2 linked regions of the Canis lupus familiaris genome follow. The main gene of each other region encodes a partner of the protein of the gene in region 2 in a complex. Links are inferred from orthologs where the notes say so. Each region holds a gene or a part of one and is shown on either strand. Other genes may lie near its edges.

Region 1 (4,366 bases), on a different chromosome or scaffold from region 2:
CTAGTCAGGAGCGCCAATATTAATCATATTGGGCAGCCCGGGTGGCTCAGCGGTTTAGCACCGCCTTTGGCCCACCCAGGGCGTGATCCTGGAGACCCTGGATCGAGTCCCACGTCGGGCTCCCTGTACGGAGCCTGCTTCTCCCTCTTCCTGTGTCTCTGCCTCTCTCTCTCTCCTCTCTGTGTATTCTCATGAATAAATAAATAAAATCTTAAGAAAAATTAATCATATTATTGAAGTCAATGCTTTAGGGTAGTGGTTAAGGTTACAGGCTAGGGAGTTTACCCTCAGTCAGTTTACTTGTAAAATGGAAATACTGTGTACATCCACGCCATAGGGCTGTTACAAGGGCATGTGAGGTTATATGTAAAGTGCTCAGGAGAGTGCCTGGCCCTTATTTTTATCAGTATCACCTAAGGGTAGGTCAGTCAACCACCTGAGGAATCCAGGTGGGCTACAGGAGGAGGGAACAGCAGCATGGGTACAGGCACACACAGTTTCCTCTTTACTAACCTTATTTACCACTCAATTCTGAGGGGGAATGGGAACCTTTGTTTCTCATTTTACAGATGAATAAATCCTTGCTAAAACGAAATGAAACAAAACAAAACAGCCTTGCTCAGAGCCCAAAGGATCCCAGTTATTAAATGTCAGAGCCAGGGTTCAGACTCAAGCTAAGTCAGCCTCCAGGGGAGAGTCGAAGGGGGCCAGACTTTCCAGAAGGCCTGGGAGCCAGATTAGCTCCCTCTGAGGAGCCCTGAAGTTTGGAGGCCGGAGCTCCCCAGAGGGGCTTCCGCTGCCGCCCTTTGCCCTGCCAGCTTCTGCATTCCCCACCCCCTACTTCTCCGCCCGATCTTGGGGACATCTAGCTTCAGAAACCAGGCCAGAGAGACTGACTGTTCGGGTGCCCAGGCCCCTCTTTAGAGATGGGAAGGAGGAGGCGACACTTGGCGCCGCTGACTCGGGGTAAAAGGATGCGGGGGGAGGAGGCACAGGCAACTTTTGTAGGCGGGGAAGTCCTTCCTGCAGTCTGACCGCCACCTGGTTGCTGCAGGGCCCCGGGAAAGCTAGTCCAGCCTTAGCCCCTTGCCCCAAATGCGGGCGCCGGTCCCCGGGCTGTGGGCCGAGCATCCGGGTCTCCAAATGCTTTGTGGCGACAGGACTAGGATCCGGGGCGCGGGCCCGAAGTCCCCTTCCCAGCGGACCGAAAACGGCACCGCGGGGCGCACGGGGGCTCGCTGTGGGGCCAGAATTCACACTGCAACACTAGGGGGGGATCCCGGGCACGGCGACCGCACTGCCCTCAAGGACCGGGAAGACCTCGGATCTCGGAGCGCAGGGCGGGGTCCGCACCCACAGCTCAGGAAACGCGCGGGGCGGAGCCGCGGCGGCCGCTCGGGGTCACGGGAGGCGGGCCCGGCGCGCGCAGGCGCAGCTCAGGCCGGCTCTAGGACCGCGCGGAGGCCGGTCGGGCCGCCCGCAGAGCCCAGCCCCGCCCGCAGCCTGAGTCACCCGCCCCGCCCTGCGGAGCCGGACGCGGCCGGAGGCCCGGGAGCAGCGCGGACGAACGGATCCACGGACGAGTGAGCGAGGCGGTGAGCGCCCGATCTGGATTAGCCCTGTACTCCGTAACCCCGGTCCTTGCGGCCCCCATATCCAACACCCTTAAGCCCTGGTCTCAGGGGTCCCCCCCCCCGACCCATGATCTCAGACTGGAAGCCCCAGTTATGTCCGGCACCAGGTTATCCCCCCCTCCCCCGCCGGGGACTCTTCCACCCTCTGCCTCAGGATCTAAAGTTCGAGCCCGTGGATTTGAGAGGTACTCCTACAAATTATGCTCAGGGTAGGGTCCCCAGAACCACGATCCTTAGATCCGTTCTCCCAATTCTAATGGGCACCCCGTTATCCCAGGCCCCGGGATTCACACCCACAGTCTTAGACCCGAGCCCGCAGAATCAGCGGCGACATTGTAACCCGCTGCTGGGAGTATCGAAACCCTCAAGCTCACATTTCTGGGTTTCCTGAACCCTGCCCCAGAGCCTTCCAAGTGGAGAATCTCTGATCGGCGCCCCTGACCCGCCCAAGACCCCGAAACCCAGCTCTGGGGCTCGATCTGACTCGAGTACCTAGACATGTCAAAGATGTCTTGCACCAGCTTGGGGCCCCCACCTGGAGAAGCCCCCAGACCTGGACCCTTACCCTGGATGATGCCTATGCACTATGGACTCAGTCCAGGGGCCCTCAAGCCAGAAGGAGATCCTTTGGACCCAGAGGGGATTTCAAACCCGATCCTCAGTCCCTGTCCCACCCATCCGAAAACTACCCTCCCCCAGAACCCCAGACCCCATCCCAAATGCACCGTCAAGCCCGAGCCGGAGCATAAGTCCCTGCCCTGAGGCCTCATGTTACTCCCCAAGTCCGGCTGCCAGAAATGCGTATTTTTGTGTGGAAGGAGCGGGCTCCGTGGCGATGCGGCCCCTTGACCCCCCCTTTCCCCCCCCAGGAATTTTAAATCGCAGCCATGTTCCTGGTTAACTCGTTCTTGAAAGGAGGCGGCGGCGGCGGGGGAGGCGGGGGCCTGGGCGGGGGCCTGGGGAATGTGATCGGAGGCCTGATCAGCGGAGCCGGCGGCGGCGGCGGCGGCGGAGGAGGCGGCGGCGGCGGCGGCGGCGGCGGCGGGGGCGGAACGGCCATGCGCATCCTGGGCGGGGTCATTAGTGCCATCAGGTAAGGCGGGGCCTGAGGGGCGGGGCCCGGCGGAGGAGCATGTCCCGCCTGAGTAGATGGAGGTAACCTGGGGCCTGACCTGCAGTCTTCGAGGCTGGGCCACCCGCCTGGAGGGCGCGGGCCGTAGCGGGGCCGCTGGCAGTTCAGGAGGCGGCGCTTGACGTGGGCGGAGTCTGACGGCTGAGGGGCGATCTGCCGGGCGCTGCTCGGGGAGGTGGGGCTTGGGGGGGCGCGGCCTGCCTCCCGGCGGCCGGGAGACGAACGTTAGGGGGGCGGAGCCGCTGAGCCCGGCCGTCTCTTCCCGGGGCCAGGCCTGCCTTGCGGGCGCGGCGTGGCCGTGGTCTCGGGTCAGTGAGGCGCTGGACCCAGCAGAGGCCGAGGCCGAATGGGATGCGGGAGATGATCCTGAAGGAGGTGGATCTGGCTAGAAGTACGACCTGGTCGAGGTGGAGCGGGTTGTCACCAGGGGCCTCATTAACCGTGGCCCCCCTCGAAGGGGTGGGGACTCCTGGAGCTGGTGGGATGTTGGGAAACACGGGTGTTCAGGAAGCCACAGGACGGAGCAGGTTCCTAGACAGAAGGGGCCTGAGGAGGATGGAGCCCCAGGAAGCTGGGTCAGAGCTTCTATGAAGTGATCTGTTGAGGAATCTGTCACTGGGCAGGTGTGCCCTGGCCTGGCCCTGGCCTACCGTAGGGCGGGCCTCTGAGTTTCCTGCCAGGTGCAACCAGGGCAGCAAAGAGGGACCGTTAAGGCGAGCAGAAGGAGCCGGTGGGGAGGGTGGTGGGCTGGAGTTTGAGGGGTTGGGCACCGTCTTTGGAGGCTCCGCACACTGGCGCTAACTCCCTAACTCTCTCCCCTCAGTGAGGCAGCTGCGCAGTACAACCCAGAGCCTCCGGTAAGCCACCCTCTATAATCGGAGACCCTGCTTCTCACTCCCAGGCTTTTTTCCACACCCATCATTGTCCCTTTGTCCCCCTTATGAAATTCCACTCATTAAATCTCTCCCTTGCCAAGGTCCCCAAACTTAGCTATAGCCACTCCCTGCTTTCTGACCATCTCTCATTTCTTTGATCACCCAGCCACTCAGCCCATTCCGACTTTCCCACCAAGGGCTGTCCTGACCCGGGCACCCCTCCACCACTTGCTCTGAGATCTTTTCCCTCTGCAGCCTCCACGCACCCATTACTCCAACATTGAAGCCAATGAGAGCGAGGAGGTCCGGCAGTTCCGGAGGCTCTTTGCTCAGCTGGCTGGAGATGTAAGTAACCCTGGGCCCCTATCTTTGTCCTAAGTCTTCCACATCTTCCTTTGGGCTGCCCTTGCACACACCCCCAAAAATGGCAATCCCCAAAGAATCCCCATTCTCCTTCATGACATTCTTCCCTTGTGACCATCCCTGACTTTTCCCCACAGGACATGGAAGTCAGTGCCACAGAACTCATGAACATTCTCAACAAGGTCGTAACCAGACGTGAGTTGTTGGGCTCAACACATAGGACAGGTTTTGAGTCATGGGTTGCTGGGGTAGTTGTGACCTCTGGCCTTCTGACTTTCAATCTGTCCCCCACAGATCCTGATCTGAAAACTGATGGTTTTGGCATTGACACATGTCGCAGCATGGTGGCCGTGATGGATGTA
Region 2 (4,337 bases):
TCTTTCAGATGACATTGGTTTGGGAAGAATCAAAGCTGATCACAGACAATTTGCTGATCCTGAGAGGCAAAAAAATTTTATGGTAGTTCCCAAATTGGAATATAAGAGAGATCTTAGCAAAATGACAGACGATGCCTAAACATAACAAAGTTAAAAGCACTGTTTTAAACTACTTCAAATATTCCAGCATTTCCTTGAGGGAATTTCCTTTAGGGAATCATGAATTTGGAAAGAGAAGTCTGATGTCACCTCTGAAACACTGCCATCCATATTTGCAGATAATTCCTGTGGTGCACTTTGATAAGAACCTTGGGACAATAATGACTCAAAGCAAACTTTTGCTTTCAGCACATAAATAAGATGCTATGTTTTAAAAGCCCAGAAAATGTAATGGGAAACAATTACAAAGAAATATCTTTAGGGAAACTGTAATTCCCAATCATTAAAAGTCTATGGGTACGGTGGGTACTTTGATCCATGAATCTAATCGGTCCTCACAACCCTTACGTGGTGCCTATTATGACCTTCATTTTACAGATTTGGAAACAGGTTCAGAAATGTTGACTCATTGCCCTTTGAGAAAAAGAACTATTATCTTATTCTCCACTGTGTACTTAGAGGCTAGGACCAGACTTGGCACATAGTAGGTGTTCAGTGAATGGCCACTGGCTTATCAGTGACAGTTTACTGATTTCCATACAAGGTTTCTCTCTAAAGCGTGTCTAATTAGAATAACCTTGCTTTTCCCAATACCACATGCTGAGAAAGACGTGTACTTAAAACTAAGTTTTTCAAATTCACACATCAATCAATGGGATAGAAATATTTTGATTCTCACCTACCAACACATCATTCGTGTATTTTTATTTTATTTTTTTTGTGTGTGGAAAAAAAAGTACAGAATCGCTCTAACTCTCACCGTCTCATTCTCAACAAAGCTCTTGATCTCGGTTGCTACTGCTCCTTGGAGTGTTGGGTTTTCTCTTGCCCCCCCATTCTCCTCCTCTGTGTTGGAAAATGCATGTCCAAGGACATTTCTCTAAAAGTTTCGAGCTTTGCACACAAGTTAAAAACGCTAGGTCTAGGCTCTTGCGAGCTGAGTTCATTCGGGAATCCGCATCCAGGGGCGGAATTCCTCCCGGAACTATTCCTGTCCCATTCAGCTCGAGAGCAAGCAGGGCCTCCTGCATCTCTGCTCACACGGACTCGCACGCCCGGGCGCGCTGGTGCATACCACAGCAGGGTGAGTCTCGGCCTCTCCCGGAGCCCAACCTGAAGTCCCGGGAAGAGGTCGCATGTGGTCCCCACCCCTTCCCAGCCCCAGTCCGGACAGCACTCATCCATCCGCACTCCCGGAAAGGCAGAGCAATCATCCCCTTCCCGTTCCTGCCCAGGCACGATCGCTCGCGTTTACCGTCTTGTACCACCAGCTTGCGAATGCCATGGCCACAGTCGGTGGGCTCGGAGCCGCGCGTGGCGGAGGGCTCGGCGAGGACGCGGGGTGCGGGGCGGCCGGCGCGGGGCTCCCACTTCGCCTGCCTGGGAGCTGGCGGGCTCTGCGCTCGGGACGCCCGCAGCCAGCAGGAGGCACGACACCTGGGCGCACCCGGAGCGGCCCCGCCCCGCAGACCCCGCCCCCGCAGGCCCCGCCCCGCCCGGAGCCGCGGGAGGCTGGCTAGGGTAGGGGTGTTATTTCACGGGGAAGCCCCGCCCCCACACCCGCCCCGCCCCCCCGCAGGCCCCGCCCCTCAGGCCCCGCCCCGCCCGGTGCCGCGGGAAGCTGGTTAGGGTAGCTGTGTTAGTTCTCGGGTAGCCCCGCCCCCGCAGGCCCCGCCCCCTCAGGCCCCGCCCCGCCCGGTGCCGCGGGAAGCTGGTTAGGGTAGCTGTTAGTTCTCGGGTAGCCCCGCCCCCGCAGGCCCCGCCCCCTCAGGCCCCGCCCCGCCCGGTGCCGCGGGAAGCTGGTTAGGGTAGGGGTGTTAGTTCTCGGGGAAGCCCCGCCCCCCCACAGGCCCCGCCCCCACACCCGCCCCGCCCCCCCCGCAGGCCCCGCCCCTCAGGCCCCGCACCGCCCGGTACCGCGGGAGGCTGGCTAGGGTAGCTGTGCTAGTTCTCGGGGAAGCCCCGCCCCCCGCAGGCCCCGCCCCCACACCCGCCCCGCCCCCCCCGCAGGCCCCGCCCCTCAGGCCCCGCACCGCCCGGTGCCGCGGGAAGCTGGTTAGGGTAGGGGTGTTAGTTCTCGGGGAAGCCCCGCCCCCGCAGGCCCCGCCCCCCGCAGGCCCCGCCCCCTCAGGCCCCGCCCAGCCCGGAGCCGCGGGAGGCTGGCTAGGGTAGCTGTGCTAGTTCTCGGGGAAGCCCCGCCCCCCGCAGGCCCCGCCCCCGCAGACCCCGCCCCGCCCGGTGCGGCGCGAGGCTGGCTAGGGTAGGGGTGTTATTCCTCGGGCAGCCCCGCCCCGCCCCGCCCGGCGCGGCGCGAGGCTGGCTAGGGTGGCTGTGTTATTCCTCGGGGCAGCCCCGCCCTGCAGCCCCGGCTTTAAGCGGAAGAGGGGATTCCGCGCTCGTTAAACTCCCCCCACTCCGGGGGCCTCGAAGGAACTCCCGCCCCCAGCCCTCTCTTCCCTCGCCCGCCTCTCCCCACCCAACTTTCCCCGACGCGGCCCGGCCCCCTGTGGAGCTCGCGCCTCGCCGGGCGCACTGGGCCGGGCCCGAGGGACCCCTGGTCACCTCCGGCCCCTGCCCGGCGGCGAGCCTGAGCCCCGCGCCCTTCCCGGCCCCGAGGGCGCCCGGGCCAGGCGGCCGCGCGGGTCACGCCCCGAGGAGGCGGCCCAGGGCCCCGGGGCTCGGATCCCCTCCCCCCAGCGCGGCCCTGCGGCTCCCGGAGGGGCGCCACTCACCTCCTGGGTGTCGCGGGCGGCGGCAGCGCGCCGGGGCCTCGGGGAGGCAGCGGGCTTCTGGCCCGGCTGAGACATGGCGAGGCCGCGGGATCGCTGCCTCCGGGAGGGCGCCGCGGGGCCGCGAAGGGAGGCCCGGGCGGGGCTGCTCTGCGAGCGAGCGAGCGAGCGAGCGAGGGAGGGAGGGAGGGAGGGGGCGGAGGGGCCGGCGGGCGCGCCCGTGAGGCAGCTTTTCCGACCCAGCCCCGAGCCCGCGCGGGGGCTCCCCCTTGCCCGGCCGGGTCCTCCCCTTCCTGCCGGCTGCTGGCTGCGGCCCCAGCTCCAGCGCCCCGGGGCTGAAGCCGAACACCCTCGGCCCCGTGGTCTTCGCCCCGAGGTCCTCCCCGCCTCCCAGGACTCGGGGCTCCCCGAGGTCGCAGGGAGGAGGGGCTGCAGGTCTCAGGGTTCCTCCTTCGACTTGCCCGGACTCAGCTTTCAGTTGTGCAACGGGAGAGCGGGACCCGGGCGTGGCCCGGCTGCGCCTCGACCCTTCTCCTTAAACAGGTCTCCAGAATTTTTGTTTTAAAGATTTTACTTATTTATGAGAAACACAGAGAGGGGGGGGGGGGGCAGGCAGAGACACAGGCAGAGGGAGAAGCAGGCTCCACGCAGGGAGCCCGACGTGGGGCTCGATCCCACGACTCTAGGATCACGCCCTGGGCCGAAGGCAGACGCTCAACCGCTGAGCCACCCAGGCGTCCCTATCTCCAGAATTAAACACCTTTCCTGCAATCTGTCCGGGTTTAGTTTGGAGAAGAATTTACCAACTCAAATCTGGCCCAAGCCTGGACCGTCTAGATAAGGAAGCGGATCACAAAAAAACAAATGGGTCTGTGCATTTGTTTGTCTGGATGTGTCTGTTTGTGTAGGTGTGTACGCTCTCCTGTGTGTATTTTCTGGCATCTCACTTGGAGGGGTTTTTTTTTGGGGGGGGGGGGCGGGAGGGCGCAATGTTGAAAGTTTTAAAACGTTTTATGGGGGTAGGAAGCCGTAGGTTCCAATTCAAACCAAAGAATAGTCCCAAATTAAAACCCCTGTAGCGTTTCTGGAGCCTGGCCGGTTTTGTTTCCGAGGCCAAAGTGTTTTTAGTCTTTGACTCATCTTAAACAGCACTTCCTGGTTTAGGCCTGGAAGTGAAGTATAACAAGCTTGTCTAGAAAATGCTCATCTGCTGAGACTGTCACCCTTCCATTCTGTGGTTTGTGATCAGACCCGACAGAAAAAAGAACCCGTTTCCCTGGGGTGGCATGGACACTTAGGACCCGAGGGTGACCACTCTCTGCAGTGTTATGTTTTAGACATTTGCTGAGAGAGAAGCCAGGTTGTAGGAAAAGAGTAGTCATGCTGTATTTAGGGATTTTTGTCTTCATTTACAGACTAGCAGCATTCCTGATGGGGGGAGCAGTGAGG

The links.
Region 1: the proteins of CAST (region 2) and CAPNS1 are in contact, whole or in part, in a crystal structure (PDB 3BOW), measured with the Rattus norvegicus proteins. The link is inferred for Canis lupus familiaris from reciprocal best matches to the Homo sapiens genes CAST and CAPNS1. Residues at the interface, in NP_445747.2 of Rattus norvegicus: Pro652, Ile653, Asp654, Ala655, Leu656, Ser657, Asp659, Leu660, Asp661; in NP_058814.1 of Rattus norvegicus: Phe103, Leu106, Gln109, Leu110, Ile125, Lys128, Val129, Arg132, His133, Leu136, Phe166, Trp170, Lys174, Gln177, Lys181.

What each region holds. Positions count from the first base shown.
Region 1 is NC_049222.1:117,400,085-117,404,450, reverse strand, and holds the start of CAPNS1 (calpain small subunit 1), read left to right. Parts: upstream 1-1,523; 5' UTR 1,524-1,595; intron 1,596-2,503; 5' UTR 2,504-2,521; coding exon 2,522-2,727; intron 2,728-2,745; exon of another isoform or gene 2,746-2,766; coding exon of another isoform or gene 2,767-2,789; intron 2,790-2,806; exon of another isoform or gene 2,807-2,941; intron 2,942-3,076; exon of another isoform or gene 3,077-3,157; intron 3,158-3,589; coding exon 3,590-3,623; intron 3,624-3,896; coding exon 3,897-3,986; intron 3,987-4,141; coding exon 4,142-4,199; intron 4,200-4,298; coding exon 4,299-4,363; intron 4,364-4,366. UniProt on the Homo sapiens protein: Regulatory subunit of the calcium-regulated non-lysosomal thiol-protease which catalyzes limited proteolysis of substrates involved in cytoskeletal remodeling and signal transduction. Essential for embryonic development.
Region 2 is NC_049224.1:13,067,372-13,071,708, forward strand, and holds the start of CAST (calpastatin), read right to left. Parts: upstream 3,046-4,337; 5' UTR 2,967-3,045; coding exon 2,892-2,966; intron 1,573-2,891; exon of another isoform or gene 1,445-1,572; coding exon of another isoform or gene 1,415-1,444; intron 1-1,414.